Linked DNA regions of Mus musculus. The protein of the gene in region 1 interacts with the protein of each later gene in a pairwise test. Links are inferred from orthologs where the notes say so. Each region holds a gene or a part of one and is shown in the gene's direction. Other genes may lie near its edges. The genes, in order: Eef1g, Klhl18, Ech1, Get4 and Ilf2.

Region 1 (5,655 bases):
GTGCAAGGCATGCTCAAGAATAAGAGACATATATTATACTTGTGTGTAAGGCATGGTCTTCATAGTAGCCTATGGCAGCTGTTTTATGGATGGAAAAACACGTATCTTGGGCAGGCAAGTAAGAGGTGTATTCCCCAGTTTCCCTGCTCTCTAGGCCAAGCAGAAGCATCTGGGTCAGGCAGGGCATGGCTGGGTTTCTCAGGACACTTCTGAAGTCCTATGAAGGGAAGAGAGTCCCACTGAAGTAGCTGCAGGGATGTCCCAGTTATGGCTTCCAGGTGACCCCCTTTTTTCTAATCTGCCTCCATCAGGTTCCCTGCTGGCCCAGTTCTTCTCCTGCGTATCTTGCTTGGATCTTTCTGGCTCCCTGCTGTCCCTGCGGGAAGGTCGGCCATTGATGGTGGCAGAGGGCCTGCCTTCTGATCTCTGGGAAGGGCTGCGCCTTGGCCCCATGAATCTCCAGGACCCCTTTGACCTGAGTCACAATGTTGCAGCCAATGTGACCGGCCGGGTGGCTAAACGTCTGCAGAGCTGTTGTGGGGCAGCAGCCAGTTACTGCCGAAGTCTCCAGTACCAGCAGCGTTCCTCCCGGGGCCGGGACTGGGGACTGCTCCCGCTTTTGCAGCCCAGCTCCCCTAGCTCCCTGCTGTCTGCCAAGCTCATCCCCTTACCCTCTGCCCCCTTTCCACAGGTCATTATGGCTTTGGTGGATGTGTTAAGGGAAGCACTAGGATGCCACATAGAACAGGGAACCAAGAGACGACGGTCAGAAGGTGCCAGAATTAAAGACTCTCCCTTGGGAGGGGTGAACAAAAGACAGAGACTTGGTGGGCAAGAAAAGAGCTTCGAGGAAGGGAAAGAGGAGCCACAGGGATGTGCAGGGGACCACAGTGAAAATGAGGTAGAAGAAATGGTAATAGAGGTTCGAGAGACACCTCAGGACTGGGCCTTGTTGCACTCGGGACCACCAGAGGAGGAGTTGCCCCTGATGACTGCAAACTGTCTAGACAAGGCAGCTGAGCATAATCCCATGAAACCTGAAGTGGCTGGAGAAGGGTCTCAGGGTGAGACAGGGAAGGAGGCATCACACCCATCATCAGTGAGCTGGCGCTGTGCCTTGTGGCACCAAGTATGGCAGGGGAGGCGGCGTGCCCGGAGACGATTACAGCAACAAACCAAGGAAGAAGGTAGAGGAGGTCCCACCACAGGAGCAGAGTGGCTGGCAATGGAAGCTCGTGTGACCCAGGAACTAAAAGGACCCAATAGTGAGCAAGAGAGGCCGCCGGGGGAGCCCCTCCTCAGCTTTGTGGCATCTGCCTCCCAGGCTGAGCAGACACTCACTGTGGCCCCACTCCAGGACTCCCAAGGCCTGTTCCCTGGTCTTCATCATTTTCTACAGGGTTTTATCCCTCAAGCACTTAAAAATCTCCTCAAGTGAGGAACCAAACCTCAAAAACAATAAAGCTGCTAGTTTATTTCATACAGACATTTAATGTTCTTTTGCATACTCCCTCATAAGACCATTACGAGGTCTTTGTTTTCCTCCTGGTAACGCCTTTTTTCTTTGCCTCAATGTAGCTTCTGGCCTGACTACTCTAAAACAGTCCTATGACTTCCACTTCAGAGCTCTCCTTCCCACTTGCCAGCACTTTCCTAGGGAGTGCCACCTCCACGAGGCAAAGGCACTGATTTCTGAGAACAACCTTTGCCCACACGAGACTTGTCCTGCTGCTCCAGGTGATGGGAACCACAAATTTGGGTTTAGGGTTTGTCTTTTCTATCCTTTAACGTGAAAGAGAGTTCAAATTGCCCATAAGCTGGAGTCAAGATTTATTTTCAAATTTGGATATGTGTAAACTATTGTATCAGAACTGGGCTGCCTTACCCGACCCTCTGGGGCGCAGCCAAGCCTGAGTGGTGCTGGTGACGTGGCAAGTTGGTCCGTGCTGCTTTGTTGTGTAAGTTTTAACAGCACGGAGTTTAATCGGAGCAGACCTACTTTCAGATGTTTTCGGCCGTGGGCCCCAGCTGAACAGACAGACCCTTTACAGAAAAAACCCGAACAGGAACAAAAGGAATTCAGTAAATTGCCACCCCTTCCTTAAGGCAGTTCCTGTAGTTTGTCACGGGTTCCAGATACCAGCCTTCGAGGGGCGGTGCTTCCGCCGGGTTCTCACACTTTTCCCCTCCCTGGGTGAGCTCCGTCTCCTATCAGGCTTCCGATTGGTCGGCGACGCGGGCGGGGCAGGATCGTCCAGAGTTATACTACGCAGGCGCCCGCTCTCTGCGCTCCAGGCTGCGGGCCCCACCCCTCGCTTTTTCCAACTCAGCGGGGCTGTAGACGGAACTGTCGTGCGTATGCCTTTTATGCCGTCCTCGCTTTCCGGCCGCTGTTTCCACACTGCTCTCTCCTTTCCTCCTCCCTTGTCTCCTTTGCGGCTTACTTTGCGGCAGCACCGACAGCCCCACCCCCTTTCTCTGCGGAATCACCATGGCGGCTGGGGTAAGTTTGCCGGCTCCGGTGATTAGGGTCACCCTATCCACCGCCATCCTTTGCCTGAGTGGGGCCAGTCGGCGCCAGGGGAGTTTCAGACCCAAGCCGCGAGCCGATCTGGGGTTCACAAGCCGTACGGTCGGAGAGCATGGTTTCTAGGGCCTGGAGGGGAACTGAGGCTGGGGCTCAGAGGCTAGAGGTGGAACGTTCTGGGGTTGAGGAGAAAAAAGATGCTGGGTCTCCATTGTCTGGACCTTTAAAAAGTGTTTAACCTCACTGCCATTTTGAGGTGTGGCGTCTGAGCAGGTTGGTGGAACTTTTGCCACCGTTTTGTGGGACAACAACGAGGACGTGGAAAGGAGAGGGTCTTTGTGGGAAGGGGCGACTGGCACGTTGGGAGTTGACCTTCGGGGAGGTTTGGGAGCCAGAGGAATAAAGGGGGGGTGAAGTGAGCCCATATGGACCCTGCTGGTGAGATTTTAGTAGGGAGACAACTGGGAACTCACTGCAGGACAGGACCAGAGGGTTGCTAATTCGCCATGTGCAAAGAAAGGCATTTCAGGAAGAATAACTGATGAACATTAGAATTCAGCGTGTCGATTCTGAGGGGAACTTTGAAATCCCTTGGTCTGTGTGTGTGCTTTTGAAGTGATAGCAGCCTGGAAGTAGTTAGACTCCGGGTCACCGCCAATGAATGAAACAAGGGTTCTGGGAGAGATGGGTGTGAGTGTTCGTGTGTTTAGGCAGATGGGACCAGAAGTTTTGAAGGGAAGAATGCCTCTAGAGATGTCCTTAAGAGAGGTCACATCTGTCGGTAAGCTTTATTTAGCAGCTGGGATGTTCTTCTTGGTATTTCAGAGGACTCTGATTACATGGGGCATACTCGGTTCACTAGGAGTGAATCTAAGCTGTGCACATTGGAATTGCATGGAAGTGTGCGTGGGGAGTGGCATTCAGGGTTCCTTGCCTCTAGTCCATCCTTCACCCTTTCTCTTGTAGACCCTGTACACATACCCTGAAAATTGGAGGGCCTTCAAGGCCCTCATCGCTGCTCAGTACAGCGGGGCTCAGGTCCGCGTGCTCTCCGCACCACCCCACTTCCACTTTGGCCAAACCAACCGCACCCCTGAATTTCTCCGAAAATTTCCTGCCGGCAAGGTGAGTGGGGAAGCATCTGGGATCTCTAGAATTCCATTATTCTGGAGATGGCCCCCATGGTGTGTGTGTGTGTGTATTTATTTATATATATATTTTTTTAAAGAAATTTTAAGGGGCTAGGAATGTAACCTATTAAAGCCTCTGAACTTGACTGCCCAAAGGAAAAAAATAATTTTGAAAGCTCCCGGAGACCGAGGCAGGGAGATTGTGTGAAGCAAGCCTATAAGTATAGTAAGATCCTGTCTCCATTGTAATTATGAAGTTCCATTGTATTCACAGCTGTTCAGTGACTGTCAGGAGTTCCAGGCCTGGTTTATATTTGTAGGATAAAATGTATTTTCACCAGGTGTTATCTGTATGTATGTACTAAGTATGTCTTGAGAGTTGGATTCTTACCCCATAGAGCATGAGTAGAGCTAAATATCCAAATCTAAATATAGAGGCAAATGCTAAGTCTGGATGGCACCTAATGATTTGGGCAGTGAAGCTGTGGGATTGTTGGGTGGCATCCATATCTGAATTTGTTTATTTTGAGGTGGGGTCTCAGTAGCTTGCTGGCTGGTTTCAGACAAGGGTATGGGGCACCACACTTTAGCTATGTTTGAATTTCACCCTTGTGAATTCATATCATGAGGGATACTAAGTAATTTTCACTTCTGAGCTTGAGATGTCATGAATTAGCGTAGCAAGAGTTGTCTGTCTTAACATATTATTTAGAACAATTCAGCCTGGAGAATTGGCTACTGAGAAATCTCTGTGTTTATGTTTTCTGCTACTTTCTCCACAGGTTCCAGCATTTGAGGGTGATGATGGATTCTGTGTGTTTGAGAGCAATGCCATTGCCTATTATGGTAATTTGTGGGGATACAGGCGTGAGAGGGTATGGGGGTAAGGCTGTAGAAGCGGCTGTGGCGGACAAGGTGGAATCAGAGACCCGGCTTGGTTTTGGCATGAGGTCAAAGTTCTAAGCTCTATGTCTGCCTTTGCAGTAAGCAATGAGGAGCTGCGAGGAAGTACGCCAGAGGCGGCAGCTCAGGTGGTGCAGTGGGTCAGCTTTGCTGACAGTGACATCGTTCCTCCAGCTAGTACCTGGGTGTTCCCCACCTTGGGCATTATGCACCACAACAAACAGGTACGCTTTGGAACTTGGGGAGAAGCTGGGCCAGAGATAGAGTCAGAGCCTACATTTTGGGACTGGGAGACAGATGAAGGAAAAGATAGCAGGAGTGTGGGGGCAATGCAGACTAAAGTGGCTACCATCAGTATGGTGCAAATAAAGTCATGTTGATCATGAAGATATCTAACACGAGTGATTTCATTTCTGATAAGTTTCAACTGATTCTAGAGTCTAATGATAGAGGGTGGGGGTTGAGTCGATGGCTGGTTAAATGGCTTCTTTAGTTCTGTTGGTGGGGGGATCTGAGGAAAGGGACTTGGTACCCACTAAGCTTGAGTATTCAAAACAACAGGCCACTGAAAATGCGAAAGAGGAGGTGAAGCGAATCCTGGGGCTGCTGGACACTCACTTGAAGACTCGAACTTTTCTAGTGGGCGAGCGAGTGACACTGGCTGATATTACAGTTGTCTGTACCCTGTTGTGGCTCTATAAACAGGTAAGGTTTATATCCCATGTGACAGGGGTTAGACCTGTATTAGGGTAACCCTGTTTTTGCTTAAGACAGACCAGTAGTTAATGATTGTAGGGATCCCAACAGTGAGAACTGTGACTGTTTCCATCTTATTAAAGATGGATAAAGGCTGCGTGTGGTAGCTCATACTTGTGTAATCCCAGCACTTGAGATACTGAGACAGGAGGATCATTCTGGTTTAAGGCCACCCTAGGCTACATAGTGATATCAAAAATAGAAAGCAAAAATCAAAGATGTAAGAGACAGGGATAGTGACTGCAGCAGCGAGAGCTTTTGGAGGCAGATTCAGGTCTCTGTCTTAACTTCAGTGTTTAAAGATGCAGTGGTATAAGAATTCTCATAGTTATTTATCTG
Region 2 (5,536 bases), on another chromosome or scaffold:
AGTGCCGTTGAGTATAACATCTAGAAGGAATTACAAAGAATCCAGAGAGTTCTGGAAGCGGGTTCACAGGCCAGCTCAAAGGCTGCTCCAGAGCTTTCCCCCCCGTTTCTGCCCTACAACTTCCAACGCGCGCGTGCACATGCAGCCCCCCCATCCGACCTTTCCAGGGTCCTCCGGATGCTCATGCCGCCGAGCATCCCTGGAGTCATGCGCAGTTGGCAACAAGCCTTTCCGAGGGTCTATACTCCTCTCGGGAGCCCACTAGCCAACAGTGCCGCGGAAGGAAGCACATGCCATTTCGCACTTACTGAGGTACTGCTTGCTACCGTTCTTATGCCGCTTCATTTATGTGGGCTTCAGCTCCCAAGTCAAATTACAAGCTGCTTGAGGATAAGGGTCGTGCCGTTTACCTCTTGTGATGCCCCCCACAAGGTCCAGAACAGCGCCCAGCACACACCAGGTGCTCAAGAAATGGTAGTTGATGGTGATACTCATGGCTGGAAGTCAGAGGGTGACTGAATCTCCATAGGTGGGTCCACCATCTTCAGCCACTACTGAGAGAGTGCCAAGGTATGTGATATGTCACTCCCCTCCCACACTACTCTAATCCCTGAACTTGCAGCGTTCTGGGGAGGATACTTCATTTCCCAGTACAAGAAGCCATGCTCAGTCTCAAGATACCCTCCCATTAGGTAGTGTTTTTTCCCCCTCAGGATGGAATACTCCCAGAAATCTGAACACAGTCCTTACATACTTCACATAATAAAGTGACTCTGACGAGCCACCAGGAGACCTCTGTGCTGAGAGAGTCAGTGTTTCTCCATTTGTTTTGGGCTTGGGAATGAGCAGGATATACATTAACACCCACGAAGGCTTGACAAGAAGTCAATGGGATTACTCATAGGCACTAGGCGTTCATACCTACCATGCTCTTACCTCGATCAGGGATAAAGACTAAGAAACAAACACCCTTTAAACCCACAACACTGGGTCCTACTGCATCTCAGCATGAGATGAACCCAAAGTTTGCACCCAGGCAAAACTGGCCACTCTCCTATTTCTCACCCAGTGTGTGGAATGCTTTTCTAAAATGTGTGTGACAGATTGCCTTGGTCCCATTCCTGTGCCCCTCTAGAGGGTTTTCCTCTTCGGTAGTTAGAAGGCTCTAAGTGATGACACCGTGTCTTAATGATCTCTGACACTCAAACTCACGCCCTCTCCGTCTAAGGCAAGTCGTGGGACCTCAGTGGAGACTCGTGGGACTAAGGAACATCAGAAACTCCTAGCTCCCCTAAGCTGCGACCAGGTTGAAAGGAGCATCTCCAGGGGTGTCTCCGATTTTTTTTTTTTTTTCACAAATAAAAGAACCAAAGGAGTTAGGAACCCAGCCACTGACAGCAGCTGGGAGGATATCCCCACCAGGTTTCCCTTTTACCTAACGCCACCGGCTCGTGACCACTGCTCACCTCGCGGGGCAGTGGCGCTCGGGTAGAGCGACCGCTAGAACTGCAGCAACTTGAGGGAGCTCTGTTCGCAACCAGGACAGCTAGCCGACTGGCTGTGTACACAGTCGCCATGGCAACAGGAAGCCTGCAGGGATTACGGAAGTAGTGTAGGGTGGTGGCGGAATTTAAGCCCACATTTCTCCGTTAAAGATACAGGGAAAGTCAGAGCTGAACAAAGAAGACAGAGATGGAGTCAATTAACCTGGAAGGCTTAGAGTAGCTGTATATGCGAAGCCTGAGTTTGAGTTACGGGGGGAAAAAGGCTATGTATAAACCAGGAAGCGGGGCAGCGAGACTTCCGGTGTCGAGGACTTTGTGGGTACGGTGGCCGCGCAGGCCAGTGAGATTCCGGCTTCGCGTTCTGGGCAGCCTTCAGCGTGAGCCCTTGCCCCGCCCTGGTTAGTGTGAAGCCTGCTGGCCAGGCCTGCGCAGTTGCGGCGGCCGGGGAAGATGGTGGAGGACGGCGCGGAGGAGCTGGAGGACTTGGTGCATTTCTCCGTGTCGGAGTTGCCTAGTCGCGGCTACGGCGTCATGGAGGAGATCCGGCGGCAGGGCAAGCTATGCGACGTGACGCTAAAGGTACCATGGTCTGGGCGGTGGCTGGCTGAGGGGAAAGGGACTGAGCGGGAAGAAAAGGGTGGTGGACAGGGGAAGAGTGGTCCAGCCGACTGTGGGTGGAGAAAGGTTAGAGGGGAACAGAGTAGTAGAGAGCGGTGCCAAGCGCAGAGGGGGAAATGAGGCCAAGTTGGGAGAGTAAAGGGGACAGCCGTTCAGCCATTGGAAGGAAAGATTGAGAGGTGTGCCTCTGACGCCCTAAGAGCAGGAGACATTGGGGTATCCGCCTCCTTTTCTGTCATACAGAAAAGAGAAAATGTTCTTACAGGCAGACCATGGAGGAAGGGGCGGTGGCTGACTCCACATTCCGATGGGTACCACTAAGACATCCTATCTTGTCCTAAAGTCATTTCTTTGGGCTCCTTGAAGTTGGCTGTGCTGTTGTAAATGCTAAGCCTTCTCTTCAGGAGTCATTGCTTGCCCTTGGCGCTTTTAGAATCGGATCTGGAAATCTTTTGATGTGGGCTACTCTCTTCCATGCTGGAAAACAATCTACTGTCACCACCTTAAAAGGTCCTGGAGGCCAGGCTAAAGGACTGTTTGGGGAGAGGGATATTTTTGCCACCTGTTCCCATCCAGCATTCTGGTCTGGTGTCAAGGGCCAGTGCCCCCTGTGCTTTGAGTCGTGCAGGGCTGCACCTTGGTGCCCTGCTGAGCCAGGTAGATCCCTCCAGGTGGGGATACTGCCTGCCTGTGGTTTTTCCTGTTGGACCTTGCCTGGAAGGCTCTTACTGTCTCGGTGTGACACTCCCTCTTCCTGTTTCAAAACAACAGAAAGACACAGACACCTCTTAGACTTTATCTTCTACTGAGTTAAGGAAGCATTGCTTCTCCATGTATTCGAGTCAGACTGGTAGGAATGAATAGGGTGGCTCCTGGGCAGTGGTGGAGCACTCTTTTAATCCCAGCACTTGGGAGGCAGAGGCAAGCAGACCTCATGACCAGCCTGGTCTACAGAGTGAGTTCTAGGACAGCCAGGTCTATGAGAAACCCTGTCTCAAAAAAAAAAAAAAAAAAAAAAAAAGTTGAATGGTTAATGGTTTGGCACTTTAAAAAGCAAAACAAACTGAGGGTGGCTTTGGAGAAAGAACACACTAGCTGTAACCATGGGCACATTACTTAATCTCTTTAAGTTTAAATTTCGAAATGTGAAAATAATTTTTGTTCTTTGTTTTTGGTTTTTCAAGTCAGGATGTGAGCCATCACCACTCAGTTTAAAGATGATTCTTTTTTGTTTGTTTGTGGGGTTTTTTTTTTGTGTTTAATGTTTGTTTGTTTGTTTGTTTGTTTGAGACAGGGTTTCTCTGTGTAGCCCTGGCTGTCCTGGAACTCACTTTGTAGACCAGGCTGGCCTGGAACTAAGAAATCTGCCTACTTCTGCTTCCCAAGTGCTGGGATCAAAGGTGTGCGCCACCATTGTCCGGCTTAAAGACGATTCTTAAATCTCACCATTAGTGAGGATTAGATATTTGGTATTCTTTGTATAGCACCTATGTTAACTTTTTCATCAATCCTGAAAGAAATGGATCTCTAATTAGAGTAGTGAAATGGTCTGAGAAGGGGCAGATCGTCTCAGATAAGATAGGGAAACCAAGAGGATTAAGAAAAAATAAGATGGATTAGAGGAGGCAGAAGATGGCAAGGCCAGTAGAGATTTGGAAGCAGACTGATTTAACTGTGGCACCGACCTTTGGGATGTAGAGGCTGCTGAAAGGCAGTAATAAGAAAGAAGTTTTTCGCTAGGATTTAGGCTGTGTGCTGGTGACAAGCTGAGTGGGGAAAGGGACTCGCTGCCAAGCCTGATGACTTGAGTTGCATCCCTGGGACCCACATAGTGGAAGTGAGAACTGACCCCTGAAAATGGCCCTCTGCCCTCCGTAGGTGTGCTGTGGCACCTGCACGCTCTCTCTCTCTCTCTCTCTCTCTCTCTCTCTCTCTCTCTCTCTCTCTCTCTTTCTCTCTCTCACACACACACAAAGAGACGGCAGAAAAAGAAAAGTGTTTGTTTTTAAAGATTCGGGCTGTAAGAGGTGAGCCAGTAAGGAAAGCTGTGTGGTAGATAGATGGAGTGTGGTCACAGATACTTACTTCCCTAAAGCCATACATTTGCCTCTGCGTTCAACATAAATGCTGAATCTACCAAACTTACAGCAGAAATTGCTTGTATGATTTTTTTTTTCCCCACGAAAATCTTTTCCATTCAGGCAAAGGAACAATTGTATCATTCAAACGTCTTTCCGACTGAGAGTGCAAGTCTCAGTTACTTTGCTTGTGTCAGGTCAGAGTCATAAGGACCTGTGTAAAAGCATAGACCGGAGCTAGACTGTAGACAACATTTATTTCACTGGTTCCAAAACCCCCTTCTATAGAGCCTCAGGAGAATTCTGGTGCTAGGAGCCATCGAAAGGCCTAGTACACCAATGCTACAGTCACTACTCACAAGAGCTTCTCTGCAAAATCTGTCTTGGTTTCTCATAATTTACTCTTTTCTCCACCTTCCCATGAGTCCAGACTGTTTTTCAAATAAGCAGATTCTAAAGAATTGGTTAGCGGTTTAATAACTAGCTCCCCCCCACCCCACCCCACCCCAATTAGAGTAGTTGTTTGCAAACTTCAGCAGATATGAGACTCACCTGGTGGCCTTGTTCGTATCGCTCACCCTGGGATTTCTGATTCATAGGTCTGGCATGAGCCCCGTCGAGTTCACCAGTGATGCTGTCTTCCTCTAGGACTGCATTGTGAGAACCATAGCTATAAAATAAAGGACTTGTCCTCTCAGGATGTATTCAGAGTCAATGAATCTCCTTTGAGGTCAGTAATGCGCTAGTTCCCCAAGCCGGGAGTCAGGGAGCTCAACCTGTTGAGAAGGTAACCACCTGTTTTTTGTTAGGGCAGTGACAGCAGTTGCTTGCCTGGTAGAGAGGACGAGTATTGCCTGTTCTGGGCCCCTCCTGGTGACACACACACAGAGGAGTGGAGTGTTGCTGGTGCTTGGAGTTGGAGGTGGTTCTGCAGGTGCTGACCTCTGGAATGCTCAGAATTCTCCATTGAAGTCAGACATAACTTGTCTGCTTTTCATCTTGTACGCATTTGCTGGCGTTTGTAATCTCTCTGTGCTGGGTTTTTCTTGGGAATGTTGCTGATCTTATGATCTGAGAGGCAATATGGCACAGGCTCTGCCTGGATCTGAATCCTGGCTCTGCCACTTCATAGCTGACAAAACTTAAATTCCTTAAATGCTAGTGAGTCAGTCTATTCCTCTGTGAATGGACATCATTACCCACCTGACTGCTAAGGATTCAATTAGTTAATTAGCTTCAAACTTCATGTAATAAATGCTCAATGAATAGTAGGTATCTGTGTTTTATTGTTTGTTTACTTATTTATTTATTGTGTGTTCTTTTGTTTTTGTTTTT
Region 3 (5,656 bases), on another chromosome or scaffold:
GAGAGTGGGAGCAGGCCACACTAGTGACAGTGGTGGCAACGTCCTGGAGAGCCAGACTGGCGTTTCAGCATCTGGAGTCACAGTATCACATGGAAAGTACTAACTGCACCCTAGTTTGCTGTAAAACAATCGGGGAGATTCAAAGAGTTTTATCTACTATCCAGTTCATTTTCTGTTGGCAATTAGACCTGTAAATGTATAAACACTCCACGTGTATCATCCACAATTACTTTTTTATACCAGTTAAATGATGCACATTACTGAATGAGATGACATGACCACTCCAAGCTACGGTTGAGGTTTTGAAGATAGAAGTGGGTACAGCCAGAGGCATCTGGAAGGGTCCAGAGCAGGGAAAGAAGGTAGTAGACTGAACATGCCCAGTAGGGAGTCACAAAAGGGGTTGGACCAAGAGGAGAGAGGGCAAAGAGCAAACATGGCCAAAGTGGCTGAGTTAGATGGGAATGAAGCTGGAAGGGACGCCCAGGAGCTTGAGTTTAGGGTAGGGGGCAGGGTGAGCAGAGTGGAGCCACAGGGGTGTAGACTGAGCCTGCAGGTGCTTTGGTTTGCCAAGAGCACCACAGCCATTTGTTCCAGGGTTTCTTTTTGTTGATAAGAGGCAACAACTTCCTAATTTCTTAGCTGAAACTAGGGTGTCCTTTCTGCTCACATTTTAGTATCTGCATAGGATTTTCCAACAAAAGGAGGATAAAACATTACTCCTGGTAGTTGCTACATCTGTCCCTTGTGTGGGTGGGGTGGGGTGGGGACTGCCTACCTCAGCTGTAAGTCTGGGTAGCAGACATCCCCTACTGTCCCACTGGCCCAGAGACATCTGTTCACCCTCTTGGCAAACATCTCCCTAAGGAGCACACTTAGACGGTATTTTATGCTCTTGGGTAATACTTTCTCAGGCTTTTTTTTTTTTTTTTTTTTGGTATGTCTGTTTTGAAAATATAGCCTTTGCCAGGTGGTAGTGGTAGCACATGCCTTGAATACCAGCACTGGGGAGGTAGAAGGTGACAGATCTCTATAAATTCGAGGCCAGCCTGGTTCACAGAGTTCCATGATAGCCAGAGCTACACAGAAATTGTCTAGAAACAAACAGCATATTATTATATTTATTTAGACAGGGTCTCTATAGTAATGGAACTTGCTATGTAGAAGAGGCTTGTCTTGAACTCGCAGAGATCTGCCACCTGCCCCTGTCTCTGTCTCTGTCTTTTTGGTTTTTCGAGACAGGGTTTCTCTGTGTAGCCCTGGCTGTCCTGGAACTCACTTTGTAGACCAGGCTGTCCTGGAACTCAGAAATCCGCCTGCCTCTGCCTCCCCAGTGCTGGGAGTAAAGGCATGCGCCACCCTGCCCGGATTTTTTCCCTTTTTTTTTTTTTTTTTTTTTTTTCTTTCCCTGCCCCTGTCTCTTGAGTGCTAGGATTGAAGGTATGAGGCACCACATTGAACTTCCTTGGGTTCTTTTCAGAGTCTTTGTTGCGGGGGCTGGGTGTAGGATGATCCCTTCTCAGGAGGCAAAAGGTGGAGGATACTTGAAGTTACAGGCAAGCCTGGGGTTTTATATAGACCTTACATAAATCAGGGAGAAGAGCCTGGGGATATGTTCGGTGTTAAATGTTTGCCTATGTTGCCTCAGTCCCCTCGCACCACAAAACAAAGGAGGGTGGCGTTAGAGCCATTTACTCCTGCCTACGCACTTCTAAATGTCCAGTAACCTTGAATCCGTATAACTTCCCTGGTCCAGGAGCCAACTTCTGGCGGTAAGGGAATAAAAACTGCTTAATTCTGGCCAGCCGGTATCCTAGCAACTAAACTGCTGCCCTTCTGTCCTTGACTATTTCAGTTGTCTGCATTTTGTTCCAACACAGCGTTGTGATGAACTTTATACACAATTTTCCAACAGCACTGTGAAATATTTTCTCAGGCCAGCGTCCCACTGGGCCAAAGGTTTAAGCAACGTCCCAAACACATGAGACACGAAGGAGTGCTTTTTTTTTTCGTTTGCCCTTAGTAAAGATGGCGAACTAGGTGGGACCTCGCTGCTAAAGGGCGGTGGCCGCGGTGGCTTCGGTGCCCTTGACCAACATGGCGAACGTTCGTGCCCGCCCCCTAAGTTTTTCTTCGGGAGTAAGTCGCACAGCTCCGGAGCTCCAGAAATGGCTACCGCGATGACAGTTTCCAGTAAACTCCGCGGCCTGCTGATGCAGCGTGAGTTACCCCTTAATCCGTGGGGGCTCGTTTTTGTGTCGTCTTGTTATAGCGGCGATAAGACGGGAAGTCTGCCTGGGTCGCTTTAAACTCAGGAGTCCTTTTGTAATTTAAAATGAAATTATAATTTTTTAGGTCTGTCTTTCAACCTGAATTCTTTGTCCCCAATCTTGGGTCATTTCCACAAACAAGGGTCTAATGTAGTCTCAGACTGAAACTTGGTTTTTCGAGACAGGATTTCTCTGTGTAGGCCTGGCTATCCTGGAACTCTCTGCAGACTAGGCTGGCCTCGATCTGAGATCGGACTGCTTCTGCCTTCCAAATGCTGCCTCCCAACCACCTCCTGGCTTGCATACCCTAATCTTAAAAGTTATGTCTGGTCATGCCAGCGCCCCTAAAGAGCATATACTGTTAAAATGTCCCCATTCTAGGCTCTCAAAGTCTCTTCCTTGTCTCCCCAGAGCTGAGAGGTACCAGCCAGCTGTACTTCAACATCAGCCTTCGATCTCTGAGCTCCTCTGCACAAGAGGCCTCCAAGAGAGCCCCCGAGGAAGTCTCAGACCACAACTATGAGTCTATTCAAGTCACAAGTGCCCAGAAGCATGTTCTCCACGTGCAGCTAAACCGGCCAGAGAAGAGGAATGCCATGAACAGGGCTTTCTGGAGGTCTGGCCTGCAAGCCCACAAGCCTATCTGCTAGAGGAGACAGAGGTGGGCAGGGACAGGGGCTTCCCACTCCAGATATAACCCTTTACTTCTTATGCCTCTGCAGGGAGTTGGTGGAATGCTTCCAAAAGATATCCAAAGACTCGGACTGCCGGGCTGTTGTAGTCTCCGGTGCAGGAAAGATGTTCACTTCAGGTACTTGTCTGCCTGCTGGCGCCTCTCCCCCTGCTGGGGCAGCCATGCTAGCAGTTTTCTTTGCTGATTTTGTCACTTACTCTTTTTTTTTTTCCCTCCCCTGGCTGGCCTGGAACTCTCTATTTAGACTAGGCTACTCTAGAAGTTGAAGTAATCCTCCTGCCTCAGCTTCCTAAATGTTGATGCTGGGATTGTAAACATGACTCAATGCTTTGGCCTCCTTTTGTTTCTAGAAGGAAACAAAAATACTGGGCCGGTGGCATGTGCCCTTAGTCCCAGCACTGGAGTGGCAGAGGCCAGTGGCTCTCTGGGAGTTCACGGCCATCCTGGATGACAGAGCCAGATCTAGGACAGCCAGGGCTGCACGGAGGAATCCTGTCTAGAAAAACCAAAAAGAAAAAGTTACTTTTATTTTTGTGTGCGCGTGCATGCACACGTGTGCAAAAGTTAGATGACGGCTTTTGGAAGCTGGTTCTATCCTTCCCCATGATCAAGTGGACCTGGATGCTGGTCCTGCTCGCCTGCAAGCCTTCAAACTCCTTTTCCTGCTGAGCCATCTTGCTGGCTCCATAGTGGTTCTCAATGAAAGTTTTTATTTTTATTTATTTATTTTTTAAAGACTTATGATTATATAATAATATGTAACATAAGATCCCCCTAGGGCTGGTGAGATGGCTCAGTGGGTAAGAGCACCCGACTGCTCTTCCAAAGGTCCGGAGTTCAAATCCCAGCAACCACATGGTGGCTCACAACCATCTGTAACAAGATCTGATGCCCTCTTCTGGTGTGTCTGAAGACAGCTACAGTGTACTTACATATAATAAATAAATAAATCTTTAAAAAAAAAAAAAAAAAAAAATCCCCCTAGGGCTGGACTAACAGGTTGGGTGTGATCAATTTGACAGTGTTGGCTCACAACCATCTGTAATGAAATCTCATGCCTTCTTCTGGTGCATCTGAAGACAGCTACAGTGTACTTAGATATAATAATAAATAAATCTTTTTTAAAAAGTATATAGGTTCTTAACTGTTGAGCTACGCCATTAGTCCTCAGTGGGTTTTTGTTTGGTTGGTTTTCTGAGACAGGGTTTCTCTGTGTAGCCTTGGCTATCTCGGAACTTGATCTGTAGACCAAGTTCAGGCTGGCCTGGAACACAGAGATCTGTCTGCCTCTGCCTCCTGGGCACTGGGATTTAACAGCTTGCACCACCATGCCCAGCTTTTTTTTTTTTTCTTTTTTTTTTTTTTTCAGTCTAATTTAAAACATTCACCCGTGTGTGGGTGTGTGTACTCAGGAGTTGGCTCAAAGCCCAGAATTCCCTCCCTACCACAAATTCAAGCATAGAAATTAGCTCAACAGAACCTGCTAGGATCCTGAAGTTGGATTAACCGCAGTAGATCTGTAACCTTGAATGAGGCTCTGGACCTTTCAAAACCTACAGGGGTGTCTAGCCAAGGGTGTTACATGCAGTGACTTCTGCCTACCCCTGCCCCCCCCCCCCCACGTGCACACACACACACACACACACACACACACACACGCACGGAAGTTACTCCACTACCCTTTCTCCTCTCTGACCCCTGACCCCTTCTCCACTTTAGCATGGCTTGTTTCCCAATTTTCTGTTCTGCTGTGAAACCCACCCAATGATTTTTTTTTTAATTTTATTTTATGTGCATTGGTGTTTTATGTGCCTGTGTGAGGGTGTCAGATAGCCTGGAACTGGAGTTAGAGACAGTTGTGAGCTGCCATGTGGGTGCTAGGAATTGAACCCGGGTCCTCTGGAAGAGCAGCTGGTGCTCTTACCCCCGAGCCATGTCTCCAGCTCCCACCCGGTGATCATTTTTGCTTCAGGTGTTTTGTTTGCAGTCTTCAGATTTCTAGTTGGTTCTTTGTGATGAGGCCTCAGTGACTTTCTAGATCCTCCTGCCTTGACCTGCTGTCCAGCCTGCCTCTTGTTTATTCTATTTTGTCTTATATTTTTGCACATATGTGTGAGTACATTTACGTGTGTGTACACATGGATAAAGGCACCAGCCCAAGGTTGTCCTGTGTCTGTTTGTCTTCCTTCCTTCTTCTTCTTCTTCTTCTCTCTCTCCTCCTTTCTTACTTCCTTTCTTTCTTTCTTTTTAATAATTTATTTATTTTTATTTTATGTACATTGGTGAGTTGACTGAATGTATGTCTATGTGTGTGTGTCAGATCCCCTGGAACTGGAGTTACAGGCAGTCGGTGCTGGAATTTGAACCCAGATCCCCTGAAAGAGCCACCAGTGCTCTTAACTGCTGAGCCATCTCTCCAGCCTCAGGATTGTGGTTTTATTATTATTATTATTATTATTATTATTATTGGATTTTCAAGCCTGGGTTTCTCTGTGTAGCCCTAGCTGTCCTGGAACTTGCTCTGTAGACCAGGCTGGCTTCAAACACAGAGATCCGCCTGCCTCTAACTCCTGAATTCTGGGATTAAAGGCTTGGAACACCAACCCGGGCTTTCTGTTTGTTTTTATTTGGATGATTTTTTTTTAACACATTGAAGACAAACCTCAATGTGTTATTTGAATACAAGGCTTCC
Region 4 (5,785 bases), on another chromosome or scaffold:
AGTCCTGCAGGCACTGCCACTGTCACTCAAGCCTCCGCCAGCCTCTTCCTGCTTAGAGGAATCCGCTCAGAGACATTCCAGTCAGGCTCAAAGGAAGTGGGCCCAGAGGCTTTGGGTCTGGATGTGGTCACAAGGCCCTGAGCTCAGCTTCCAGAGCCAGAGCACCTTTCTACTACAGCCTGCCGAATATATTTTTGGAGCATTTTTCATACCTTTTAACAGCTCTGGTTCCTACCATGTATACAGAAGTGTCACGTTGATTTAAGCATCCTCAGTTCATAGGCTTTCCTTTACTTTTTTTCCCTCTCACCCTAAGACAAGGTTTCTCTGTTTAACCCTGGCTCTTATATCTTAGAACTCACTCTGTAGACCAGGCTGGACTCGACGTCCAATCTGCTTGCCTCTGCCTGAGTGCTGAGCCCACACCATGCAGCTGTTTCTCTGTCTCTTTCTCTCTCTCTCTTTTTAAAGATTAATTTTATGTATATGAGTACACTGTAGCTGTCTTTAGACACACCAAAAGAGGGCATCAGATCCCATTACAGAAAGTTGTGAGTCACCATGTGGTTGCTGGGAATTGGACTCAAGACCTCTGGGAGAGCAGTAGGTGCTCTTAACCACTGAGCCATCTTTCCAGCCCCTAGCTGTTTCTGTTTTAAAGAGAAGCCTGTTACTAGGGCTTTGCTCTCTTGAGGACCTGCTAAACATCTTGAGAGAATTCCAGCCAGGAGGGTAGTGCTCACCTTTAATCCCAGCACTCAGGAGGCAAAGGCAGGTGGACCACTGTAAGTTCAAGACTAGACTGTTCTACATAGCAAGTTGCAGAACACTCAAACAGAGCAATATAATAGGCCCTATCTAGGAGGGGAAAAAGTTCCAAAAAGAATTTATGACAAACTGTACTACACTGTCCCATCCAGACAAGTCATCCCCTGGTCGGACACTCATGCAGCATGAATCACTTGCCCCTTTGTTACTAGGTGTCTGGATCATCAGGTAGAATGCTGTATCCAAGTGGTCCTTCCTTATGTGGTAGTGCCCACAGAGCATCATCCCTCTTCACAGAAGGGTGAGCACGGTACTGTCAGAGTGTTGGGAACCAGCAAAAGACATTTATTCTAAGTACTACCATCTTGTTTTCAGGCTCCATTTAATCATATCAAGAAACCAAGCTCCCAGGCCCTAGGGGAGCTAGGGACTTCCCAATAGCTTACTTTGAACAGCTTCTGTTGTAAGGAAATAGTTGTCTTGAGTCCAGACATCTCGAGGACAACTTCATCTTGCTGGCAGGGTCAAACTAATGTTTATGTTTCCAGGCCTAGGAACCAACCTATCCTGATACAGTGGGAACGCCCTTGTCCAACCCCTTACGACGGATTATGATTAGACAGTGCTACAGCCTGCCCACCCACCTCCCCCTTTCTCTATATTTTCATCCTTTAGGCTGTACAGTATTCCCTCAGGGTTTTACTTCAGCTTCATCTGCTCTGCGGCCCTGACCAATAGCGGCTTGATTACCTGCGTTGACCTGGTGTCTTGAGTTATGTTGGTTTTAGGTTGGATTTAAGCGGACCCCACAGCAAGAGATCATGTTTACAGACTCCTTAATCTGTTACCATGCTTTCTGCTTGCACATGGGTGTGGTGCAGAAAATGCTAGTCCAGCTGGCCCGGGTGCAGGCATAAAAAGTAGGTAAGTTGAGGCAGGAGAGTCACAAGTTCAAGGGCCAGAGTAAATGGAAGGCTGAGAGTGTGTAGCTGACAGAAATGAACGCCCTGAACTTCATCTCCAGCATCCAAACTCATTATTTAAGGATATGTGTAGGGTTTTGTAACCTGAGTTTTGGATGCTGTCAGAGGACAACTCTGACCCTGGCCAGCACCTCCCATCCTCCCCCAATTAATCATGACCTTCCTCCCTTCTCTGCTGTCACCTGCTCCAACCACAGCCAGGTCTTCTTGGAGACATTACAGGTTCTAGCCTGAGCATACTGCCCTGTCCCAGATGTCACTAAGGATGACTGCCACCTGGAGGGGCACTCCCCGGGCAGGTGTGAGACAGGTCAAAGCTTCTAAAATGTGTCTGGTTCATCCATGCGCTAAGGGTAACTTCAGGGGGCGCGCGAATAAGACGCCTCATCGCTGAGTCTTCTGCCTCAGTTTACTTGCGCAGCCTACGTGGCTGATTACATTGTGCAGTGATGACACTAAGCTGGGGACAGCTCAGCGTGTAGTCCCGCCCAAGACCTCGGTCCCGCCCACTCTCGCAAGACTACAAACAAGTTCCCGCGATAGTCTGAGAGCCCCACCCCGTCGGCTTTTCCTGGCCTGTGTTCTCAGGGTCCTTCTCAGACCCCCCCTCAGGGGCGTGTCCTCGCGCGGCTCCCGCGATCCCGGCAGGCTCCGCCTCGATCACGTGCGGCCCGCGGCGCGCCCGCCCTCGCACGGCTCCTCGCGGCCACCGTAGAAGGAGTGCGGCGGCCGCAGGGACGGAAGCCGGGAGGCGCCGCCGACCGCGCCTGCGACAGCGTCAGCTCTGCGCGGAACGCCGGCCCATGGCGGCGGCGGCGGCGATGGCAGAGCAGGAGGGCGCCCGCAACGGCGCCCGCAACCGCGGCGGCGTCCAGCGCGTGGAGGGCAAGCTGCGTGCTAGCGTCGAGAAGGGCGACTACTACGAGGCGCACCAGATGTACCGGACCCTCTTCTTCAGGTGGGCGCGGGTGGCGGCTTAGCGCCGAGGCCCCACCTCCGCTGTTGCTCATTGGCTGCGCTGCGGCGCCCCGCACCCTCATTGGTTTATGCGGCTGCCTGTCGCGGAGCAGAGCGGGGGCGGCGGGCTTGTACTACTCGGCAGGGCCTCCTCTTCTCTGCCTGGTTCCCCCTCCTCCTCTCTCGGCCTCGTCTTTCTGAGTCCCTGCCTTACTCTCAGAGCTGCCCTTCCCCCGTCCTTCCTTCCTTCCTTTTCCCAGGCCTCCTTCCCCAGCCAACTTCTTCTCAGGCCTCCCCTTCCCTGGACTCAGTTTTATCACTAGCCTCTCTCCTCTTCACTTAGGCCTCCTCCCTCTTACAGGCCTCTCTTCCCGCCACTCCTTCTCTATCACACCCTCTTCCTCGCCTGGCCTCCCTTTCTCTGAAGGCTTCCGCTGGTTGGCGAGTCCTGTTGTCAGAGTAGTCTCACCTAGTCCTCCCTTCTGTGGCCAGTGATTGGAATTGCACAGCCGGCTAAAGTGTGGTCAGATGCTGACACCGTGGGCCAGCCTGTGGCCATCTGTATTCCTGCCTCTGTGCATCTGCCAGCTGATAATTCCTACGTAGAACTTTATTCCTGACTACAGGACATCAGCATTTCTGCTCCATGTCCGTAGTGTGGGTTTGGCCCCTGTGCCCCTTAGACCTACTTTTCGTTTTAAAATACGTTTTGTTTTAGGGCAATTTTAGGCCTTCAGTAAAAGGAGTGGAAAGTGGTTATCTTGTACCAGTTGCACATTATCATCCACCCATTACTGTCACCTAGGGCCCACGTGCTGTGGAACTCCTCCTACAGTCACTCCCTCTAGCTTGATCTGAGCACGGTGTGTTCTGTGGGCTGGATAAAGCTGCCATGACAGTGGATGACACTGTACACAGTGGCCTCACTGCCTTGAAGCCCTGTTGGGGGCTGAAGAATCAGTGCTCTGGGAACCCTCTGGCTCGTGAGTGATACTTGTTTACATCTGAGGACAATTCCCACTTCCCACATGCCCAGATTGAGCCTGGCAAGTAGCCAGGTGGACATGGGAGGGAGGGGCATGGTTAAGGCCACACGCAGTAGTTAGCAAGCCATCAGGGACCAGCCTTGCAGTATTTCCCTCCGTAAGTGCTCAGTCCAGGGGGTTGGCAGGTGTGGGATGAGCCTTGGCGTCCTTGGTGTCAAAGACTTCCTGTTTTCTTTACCTATTGGGCGCCCTGGATTTGGAGCAGCGGGGTTTAGTCAGCTTATCGAAACATTAGCCCTTGCTCTAATCACAGGTTACCTGAAGGGCAGCCTTGTTGGGGAATTTTTCTGTAAACTAGACACTATAAATACAAACCAGTCTGGCGACATCTAGTTTCATCACAGTGTCCCTAGTGCCTTTAAAAACAAAAACTAAAACACTCTTAATTATATTAATTATATTGGGAAGGCACTTGCTGTATTCTTTAGATAAAAATCTGTAGCCACGTGTGGTGGCACACACCTTTAATCCCAACACTCAAGAGGCAAAGGCAAGCCGATCTCTTGTGAGTTGGAGGGCAGCCTGTTCTACAAAGTGAGGTCCAGGACAGCCAAGGCAGAGAAACCCTGTCTTTAAAAAATAAAGTTAATTTTTACATGTAGAAACAACTACATAATGATTGATAAAGTAACTGGTTTTTGGTTTTGTTTTGTCCTGTTGGGAATAGAGCCCAGGACATCTCACACGCTACACTCCCTTTTGTTTTTTTCCACTTAAAATTTTGAGGTGGTGTGCCTTCAGGTCTGACTCAGGCAGACCTAAATTCTTGATCATACAGGTTGAGCTTCCTAAGTAGCTAGGATGTCAAGCCTGTGTCATCAGGCCTGCTGAATGGTTGGTTTTTCCTCTGAGTTGAGCTGTCTATCACTGAATAGGATCAGCCAATTGGCCCAAGCAATTTTTGAGTGAAGAAACAAAGGATTAGACAGAGCTAACCCCTGGATTACAGGGGTTACTCTGTGTAGCAGGCCAGTCACTGTGTATACTTCTGCAGCACTCAGGGTACACCCTGGTGTCTTACATTTTTGTTTTATTTTACTGGAACTCACTCTGCAAACCATCCTGGCCTCAAATTCAGGTTTACCTGCTTTCGCCTCCCTGACACTAGAGTAAAGGCTTGCGCCCCTACTGCCCCCACTCATTGTTTTATTTAATCAACAAAAGTGAGATCCGGAGAGTAAGCGTGTCCTTGTTTTGAGTCAACCCTGCTGTGACTGAGGATGTTCTTGTTGGTGTTGTGTGACTAGAAGAGTTCCCTTGGTCACGGTGGACTAGGGATGGTGATGGGCAAGTTCCTCCTTGTAACTGTTTGAAGCCACGTGTTATCGGCATACAAAGAACTGACCAGCAAGAGGACTGGGGTGCAGTGTGCTCCAGGGACACAGCATTCCACCAGGGCCCAGTACTTGTTACAGAACTCAAGTAGACCTCAGCTTCTCTCAACACTGTAGGCCCCAGGAGTGCCTATAGAGCGCCACCTAGACTCAGGGTCGGTCCATGGGCAGGACTGCTGGACAGCATAGTACTCGCTCACGGCAGTCAGGACAGCTTGCAGGAGCCACTTTTCTTCTGTCATTTTGGATTGACTCTATTCATCAGACTGTCTTGGTGACAGCCACCCTTACCTACTAAGCTGTGTCAAATCACCAGCCCTGGCTTTTTATCTTCTTTGACTGGATAAGTGGTGTTTATGTATTTACAGTGAATATCTTCATACGGTTTTTACTTTGGGGATGCTGAAAATGCCCATGGTTGTGACCCCTGACTCCCTCTCTATCCCCGGGCAGTTTGTCTATTGTTCAGCACAGCTCTTTTCACTTTGGGGTCTGTGCAGAGATCAAGGGGCTCTCCATCTGTGTGGCTTTCTAGTTCACGCAGCAAGATGTTCTAAATCTGATCCACATTTATGGAGTATTCTGTCCTATGAATGTGTCACAACCTAATTTTAACCTCAGCACTCCTAACCTGTATGGAAGAGAAGGGGCCAAGTAGCCCAGTGATCAGGCCTGTGTGGCCTCAGAGCCCCTGCCT
Region 5 (5,746 bases), on another chromosome or scaffold:
ATTAAAAGAAAATAACAGGCAGAGGTGGGCATAGTGGCACAAACTGGGCTGTACCCCCTGTACAGCGGTTGGCAGGCTGCAGCAGGAAGAGTTCTGAGTATGTAGACTAATTTGGTCTACACAGCAAGTTCCAGGCAAAGTTTACATAGAGAGACTATGTGGAGTAGATCCTAAGGACCCAGGAACAGGTAGAAGACTCACCTGGACTTGGCTGTGGCACATTCTCCCTACCTCAAACCATGCACACATAGTAATGAAGAAACTTAATTTTTTGCAGCAGCTTAAGGTATGTTTTAGATGAACCTTTTTTATGTGTATGAATGCTTTGCTTGCATATATGTCTGTGCACCATGTGCGTACCTGATGCCTGTGGATGTCAGAGAACTATGTTTGACCCCCTGGAACTGGAGTACAGACAATTGTGAGCCACCATGTGGGTGAAGGGAACTGACACTTCTTGGTCCTCTGCAAGAGTAAAATAACAAGTGTTCTTAACCGCTGGGCCATCTCTCTAGTCCCTAAGTAAATAAACTATTATTATTATTATTATTATTATTATTATTTTAATTATTATTGAGATAGGGTTTCTCTATGCAGCCCTGGCTGTCCTGGAACTTGTTCTGTAGATCAAAGGCCAGCCTCCAATTCAGAGATCTGCCTGCCTGTACCTCCCCAGTGCTGGGATTAAAGGCCTGCACCACAAGGTTGGGTTTAAAGATGTATTTTATGTTAAGTTATGTGTGTATATGTATACATGCTTATGCGTACAATGTGCTAGAGGGCAGAAGAGATTGGCCGAACTTTAGTCCTGAAAGAACAGTGCGTGCTCTTGACTGCTGAGCCTTTTCTGAGCCACTCCCAATTAAAAGAAAACCTAGGGCTGGAGAGATGGCTCAGAAGTTAAGAGCACTGACTGCTCTTCCAGAGGTCCTGAGTTCAATTCCCAGCAACCACATGGTGGCTCAGGACCATATATCTGATGCCCTCTCCAGGCCTGCAAACATACATGCAGGCAAAATACTGTATACATAATCAATCAATCAATCTTAAAAAAAAAAAAAGAAAAGAAAAAAGGAAAGGAAAGAAAAGAAAATCTAAAGGCAAACTTAACCCATGATGGTAGAAATCCAATATGGTTACCTTTCTGAGATGATGAAAGACTTTTTGTGAGGCAGGATCTCCTATGTAGACTTACCTGGCATGGACTGGCTACATAGAATAGTTTGACCTTGAACTCTCAGATCCTCCAGCTGCTGCCTCTCAGGTGCTATAATTAAAGGCATGCTCCACCATGTTTGCCAAAATAGCGTTCTTTTTTTTTTTTTTAATTCTGTTATATTTATGTTGTGTTTATGGGTGTCACCACACCCACAACCTTTATAGTGAGGTCGGAGAACAAAATGCAGAAATCGCTGCTCTCCTTCCACCACTGTGGGTCTCAGAGGTTGAACTCAGGTTGTCGCGATTATACCTGCTGACTCACCTTGCTAACACGATAAAGTATTCCCTATTTTAATGAAGGTGCAGTTAGGTTACTTGAAAGGAATATATGCCTACGAAAGTAAGTAATACACCAATACTTGTCAGAATCACCTAACATAGCGAAGTGGGGAGGAGCTGGTGGAACTGGGGAAGAGAAATATGTGATCAAGATATATTGTATGACCCAGCACTCGGGAGGCAGAGGCAGGCGGATTTCTGAGTTCGAGGCCAGCCTGGTCTACAAAGTGAGTTCCAGGACAGCCAGGGCTACACAGAGAAACTCTGTCTCGGAAAAACCAAAAAAAAAAAAAAAAAAAAAAAAAAAAAAAGATATATTGTATGAATTTTTTTCAATAAAAAGAATCATATAATAGTAATGCTATCGAGGGAATAGTGGTGGTAAGTGGAATTAAGTTATTTCTCATATTTCCATAAGGTAAAAGTTATGTTTTCAGGTGAGGCGGCACACGCTGGAGATTGCTGAGTTTGATGACAGCTCGGGCTACACTAACGAGTATTATGTAAGTCAGGATGACCGAAAAAGACGCTATCTAAAAAAAAAAAAAAAAAAAAAAAGTTGGAGAAGAAAAAAGAATTGTATTTCTTGTTATGGAAAGGAAAATTTAATTAGATTGTCAAAATTTTAAAAACAAAGCCTCCGATAGCAGAGGATGGTTTCGATCCATCGACCTCTGGGTTATGGGCCCAGCACGCTTCCGCTGCGCCACTCTGCTACCCACTGGTAGCATTCTCTTCTTTTCCATAGAAGAGCTTACCATTCACCGCCTCAACTTCTGAACGCCCTCCGCTGTCAGTGGGGAAAATTGCCTTCATCCCTGTTATGTCTTCTTATTGGCTGGCTCCTTTACAGGGCATTTTTCATTGGTTGCTGCGTTAACCAATAAACGCGCGGGACGGAGTGAGGCGGGAGCCTATCGCGCAGGCGTTTGTTGGGACACGCCGGCCAGACGTTTCTCAGCCAGCCTAGTTCTTCCCAGCGAAGAGCGGTTGTGTGGCCTCCATTGTTCAGGATTAAGCGAGCCATGAGGTAAGTGGACAGAGGTGCTTGAAAGTTCCAGCCGAAGTCTCGGGGGCCTGGCTGAAATGGAGTCGGAGGAACAAGGGCCTGCATCTGGGCGGCCGGCGGAAAGCCTGACCGCGGGGGAGTGGAGCAGGAGGAGGCTGGCGGACTCCGGGAATCGGGCCCGGAGGGGGTCGGGGCCCAGCAGGGGGAGTTGTGTTGATACCTGGGTCTCGGGGGCCGGGAGGGGATGGAGGAGAGGTCTTAACGGCCCAGGAAGATCTCCCTCCGTGCGCAATAAGTAGGCTGGAGCGTTGCGCAATTTTCTGGTACCTAGTGTTTGACCAATAGTACATGCCTCGTAACTGTTAATGCTGTATTAATAAATGATAAGTCACTTTACTGTGCATATTAGGACTGGTGTGCCTCACGATCGTAGGTTACCTTAGTAGGGGTATGTATATCAGGTTCTGAAACTCGTATTTTCCTGATGTGAGTTTTGATAAAATCCTGAATTAGAAGTGGGGTGTGGTGTCGAAAGCTGCACTCACAGCACTTGGGAGGTAAGGCAGGAGATACATGAGATTCCGTCTCAAAAACAAGAAAAAGGAAAAGTCCAGAATTAGGATGTCATTGGGCACCATTTGGAATCTGGGAGAAGAGAGCATGAAATATCTATCCACTTCTGTAGTTCGAGGCGGTCAAGGTAAGTCAAATTGAAATAACATTGATGGTGTGATGGAGACCTTTTTCAGCGAATTGAGAGTAAAATGTATGTATTTTTAGGGGTGACAGAGGACGTGGTCGTGGTGGGCGCTTTGGTTCCAGAGGAGGGCCTGGTGGAGGGTGAGTGTGGCTGTTTGCATCTTTGCCTTGGTTTGTTTCAGTAGAAAGGGGTTTGGAGTAGATTGTTCTATTTCATTTCATGAAAGTCACGAAAAGCATTTCTTTTCCTGATGTCCTACTAAGTGGATTTGACCTTTTGCTAAGAATGATACAGCTCAGAAACTTTTCCAATTCTTAAGACAGAATTGGTTGGTGCATTGTGTACCTCTCTTGTGCTTTCTGCTTGAATAACTTTGGGTTGTTTTCATGTTTCAGGTTCAGGCCTTTTGTGCCCCATATCCCATTTGATTTTTATTTGGTGAGTATTTTGGCTTTGGAGGACTTTCCTGTTCACTTATAGGTGTAGAAATGGAGCCCCCTTGTTAATGGAGTCAGATACTGTTTGGAGTAGGATTCAAGAGTGGATCTTTTCTTTGTTTGAGTGAGGGTCTTCTGTATGATTGGCTGGCCTGGAACTCTATGAATACTTACTGAGTTGACTGCAAATTCACCATCTTCCTCCCTCAACCTCCTGAATGTTGGAATTACAGTCATGCATTCCCACATCTGGTGTAAATTTTTATTTACTTAGTATGAGTGCTAGAGATTTGAACCCAGGACCTTGAACATGTTAGATCTATATCCCTAACACCTAATTTTATTTTATTATTGTATTTATTATATGTCACTATCTACTTATAGGTATAGCTACAGGTATAACATGGCTCTAGTGGAGGCTACAAATTTTTTCCAGTTCTTGCATAACGGTGCACATCTGTCTGTAATTCTAATTTCCAAGGATCTTATGTCCCTGTTGATTTCCACAGGCTCATGCACACAGGATGCATATGCATTCACTGTGGCACTCACACATACACATAAATAAATATTTAAAAAAACAAGCCAGTTCACCAGTCAGTCTTTAAAGAGACTGTAATCCTTTTGTAATCCCAGAAATGGAAGCCTGAGCAGTAGGACCATGTTCAGAGTTCAAAGTCAGCCTGGGTTACTAGAGTGAACTGTCTCAACAAAAACAAAACATAGAAAACAGAGTCAGCAAGGTAGGAAAAATAATTCCTTTACAGTTTCATTGTAATATTTGTCTAAAAAATGTCTTTTTAAAAAATAATTTTTAGGACTTATTTATTTTGAGACAGTGTCTGTATCTATAACCTTGGCTGGCCTGGAAATCAGAGATCTGCCTGTCTCTGCCTCCACAGTTCTAAAAGTGTGTACTATATTACATGGCGGATGGGTTATAATCAGTTCCTTTCTTTCTTCATTTATATTTGGATTTTTAGATAGGGTTTTTCTGTGTAGCCCTAGCTGTCCTGGAACTCAGAAACCCACTTGTGTCTGCCACCTGGCTTGCTTTTTTAAAAAATTTCATGTGTATGTATAAAGTACTTGCCTATATAAATATTTACCATATGTGTGCTTGGTGCCTTTGGAGGCTAGAAGAGGTGACTTGTCAGAGGTTGTGAGCTGCCTTGGGTATGCTAGGGATCAAATCTGGTTCCTCTGCAAGAGTAGCAAATACTCTTCACCTGCTGAGTTATCTCTCTGGCCTCTGGGTAATTTCTGTTTGTGTGTGTGTGTGTGTGTGTGTGTGTGTGTAAATAGGGTTTCATTGTACAGCCTTGGGTGGCCTATAATGTACAGAGATCTGCCTGCCTTTGCCTCCTGAGAGCTGGGATTAAAGATGAGGGTCATCACTGCCGGGCCTTTATTTCTTTTTATATAAAGGTAATGAGTACTCAGGCTGCTGTTGTAGCTCAGTTGGTAGAGTGCTTGACTGGCATGCACAGAGCCCAGAGCATTTCATATATCAGTATGAGGGTACGCACTAATAATCTAAGTACAAAGGAGGAAGACACAGGAAGATAAGATTACAGTCATCCTCAGCTACATAGCAAGTTCAGGTCAGCCTGTGATTTTATATAAGACCCGTCTCAAAAGAAATAACAGAAAAACAAGGTTTGCATTTGGACTTGAACATCTGAAGGAGGTGAAAACAAGTGTTGTAAGGTGTACTGGCTTTGAAATGGTCCCTGGGGAAAATAAAATTAAATGTAGACTTTTCTAGTTTTTTGTTTTTTAAGATATATTTATTTTAGCTGGGTGTGGTGGCACACGCCCTGGCTAAAATCCTGGCACTTGGGAGGCAGAGGCAGGTGGATTTCTGAATTCGAGGCCAGCCTGGTTTACAGAGTGAGTTCCTGGACAGTCAGGGCTATACAGAGAAACCCTGTCTCGAAAAACCAAAAAAAAAAATATATATATATATATGAGTACATCATTGCTCTCTTCAGACACACCAGAAGAGGGCATCAGATCCGATTACAGATAGTTGTGAGCCACCATGTGGTTGCTGGGAATTAAACTCAGGTTCTCTGGAAGAGCAGTCAGTGCTCTTAA

Evidence for each region.
Region 2: the proteins of Eef1g (region 1) and Klhl18 interact in binary tests that used the Homo sapiens proteins (3 or more experiments, as listed by UniProt). The two-hybrid records come from large-scale screens. The link is inferred for Mus musculus from reciprocal best matches to the Homo sapiens genes EEF1G and KLHL18.
Region 3: the proteins of Eef1g (region 1) and Ech1 interact in a two-hybrid assay, tested with the Homo sapiens proteins (2 studies listed by BioGRID and IntAct). The link is inferred for Mus musculus from reciprocal best matches to the Homo sapiens genes EEF1G and ECH1.
Region 4: the proteins of Eef1g (region 1) and Get4 interact in a two-hybrid assay, tested with the Homo sapiens proteins (2 studies listed by BioGRID and IntAct, with this or other methods). The link is inferred for Mus musculus from reciprocal best matches to the Homo sapiens genes EEF1G and GET4.
Region 5: the proteins of Eef1g (region 1) and Ilf2 interact in a two-hybrid assay, tested with the Homo sapiens proteins (2 studies listed by BioGRID and IntAct). The two-hybrid records come from large-scale screens. The link is inferred for Mus musculus from reciprocal best matches to the Homo sapiens genes EEF1G and ILF2.

What each region holds. Positions count from the first base shown.
Region 1 is NC_000085.6:8,964,723-8,970,377, forward strand, and holds the start of Eef1g (elongation factor 1-gamma), read left to right. Parts: upstream 1-2,318; 5' UTR 2,319-2,491; coding exon 2,492-2,503; intron 2,504-3,493; coding exon 3,494-3,652; intron 3,653-4,439; coding exon 4,440-4,503; intron 4,504-4,641; coding exon 4,642-4,784; intron 4,785-5,121; coding exon 5,122-5,265; intron 5,266-5,655. Other genes in the region: Tut1 (speckle targeted PIP5K1A-regulated poly(A) polymerase), read left to right, coding at 312-1,438. UniProt on the Homo sapiens protein: Probably plays a role in anchoring the complex to other cellular components.
Region 2 is NC_000075.6:110,473,014-110,478,549, reverse strand, and holds the start of Klhl18 (kelch-like protein 18), read left to right. Parts: upstream 1-1,855; 5' UTR 1,856-1,955; coding exon 1,956-2,084; intron 2,085-5,536. Other genes in the region: kinesin-like protein KIF9, read right to left, coding at 1,436-1,577. UniProt on the Homo sapiens protein: Substrate-specific adapter of a BCR (BTB-CUL3-RBX1) E3 ubiquitin-protein ligase complex required for mitotic progression and cytokinesis.
Region 3 is NC_000073.6:28,823,193-28,828,848, forward strand, and holds the start of Ech1 (delta(3,5)-Delta(2,4)-dienoyl-CoA isomerase, mitochondrial precursor), read left to right. Parts: upstream 1-2,145; 5' UTR 2,146-2,168; coding exon 2,169-2,220; intron 2,221-2,681; coding exon 2,682-2,886; intron 2,887-2,992; coding exon 2,993-3,081; intron 3,082-5,656. UniProt on the Homo sapiens protein: Isomerization of 3-trans,5-cis-dienoyl-CoA to 2-trans,4-trans-dienoyl-CoA.
Region 4 is NC_000071.6:139,249,911-139,255,695, forward strand, and holds the start of Get4 (Golgi to ER traffic protein 4 homolog), read left to right. Parts: upstream 1-2,413; 5' UTR 2,414-2,554; coding exon 2,555-2,709; intron 2,710-3,586; exon of another isoform or gene 3,587-3,691; intron 3,692-5,785. UniProt on the Homo sapiens protein: As part of a cytosolic protein quality control complex, the BAG6/BAT3 complex, maintains misfolded and hydrophobic patches-containing proteins in a soluble state and participates in their proper delivery to the endoplasmic reticulum or alternatively can promote their sorting to the proteasome where they undergo degradation.
Region 5 is NC_000069.6:90,473,716-90,479,461, forward strand, and holds the start of Ilf2 (interleukin enhancer-binding factor 2), read left to right. Parts: upstream 1-2,485; 5' UTR 2,486-2,525; coding exon 2,526-2,530; intron 2,531-3,289; coding exon 3,290-3,349; intron 3,350-3,604; coding exon 3,605-3,647; intron 3,648-5,746. UniProt on the Homo sapiens protein: Chromatin-interacting protein that forms a stable heterodimer with interleukin enhancer-binding factor 3/ILF3 and plays a role in several biological processes including transcription, innate immunity or cell growth.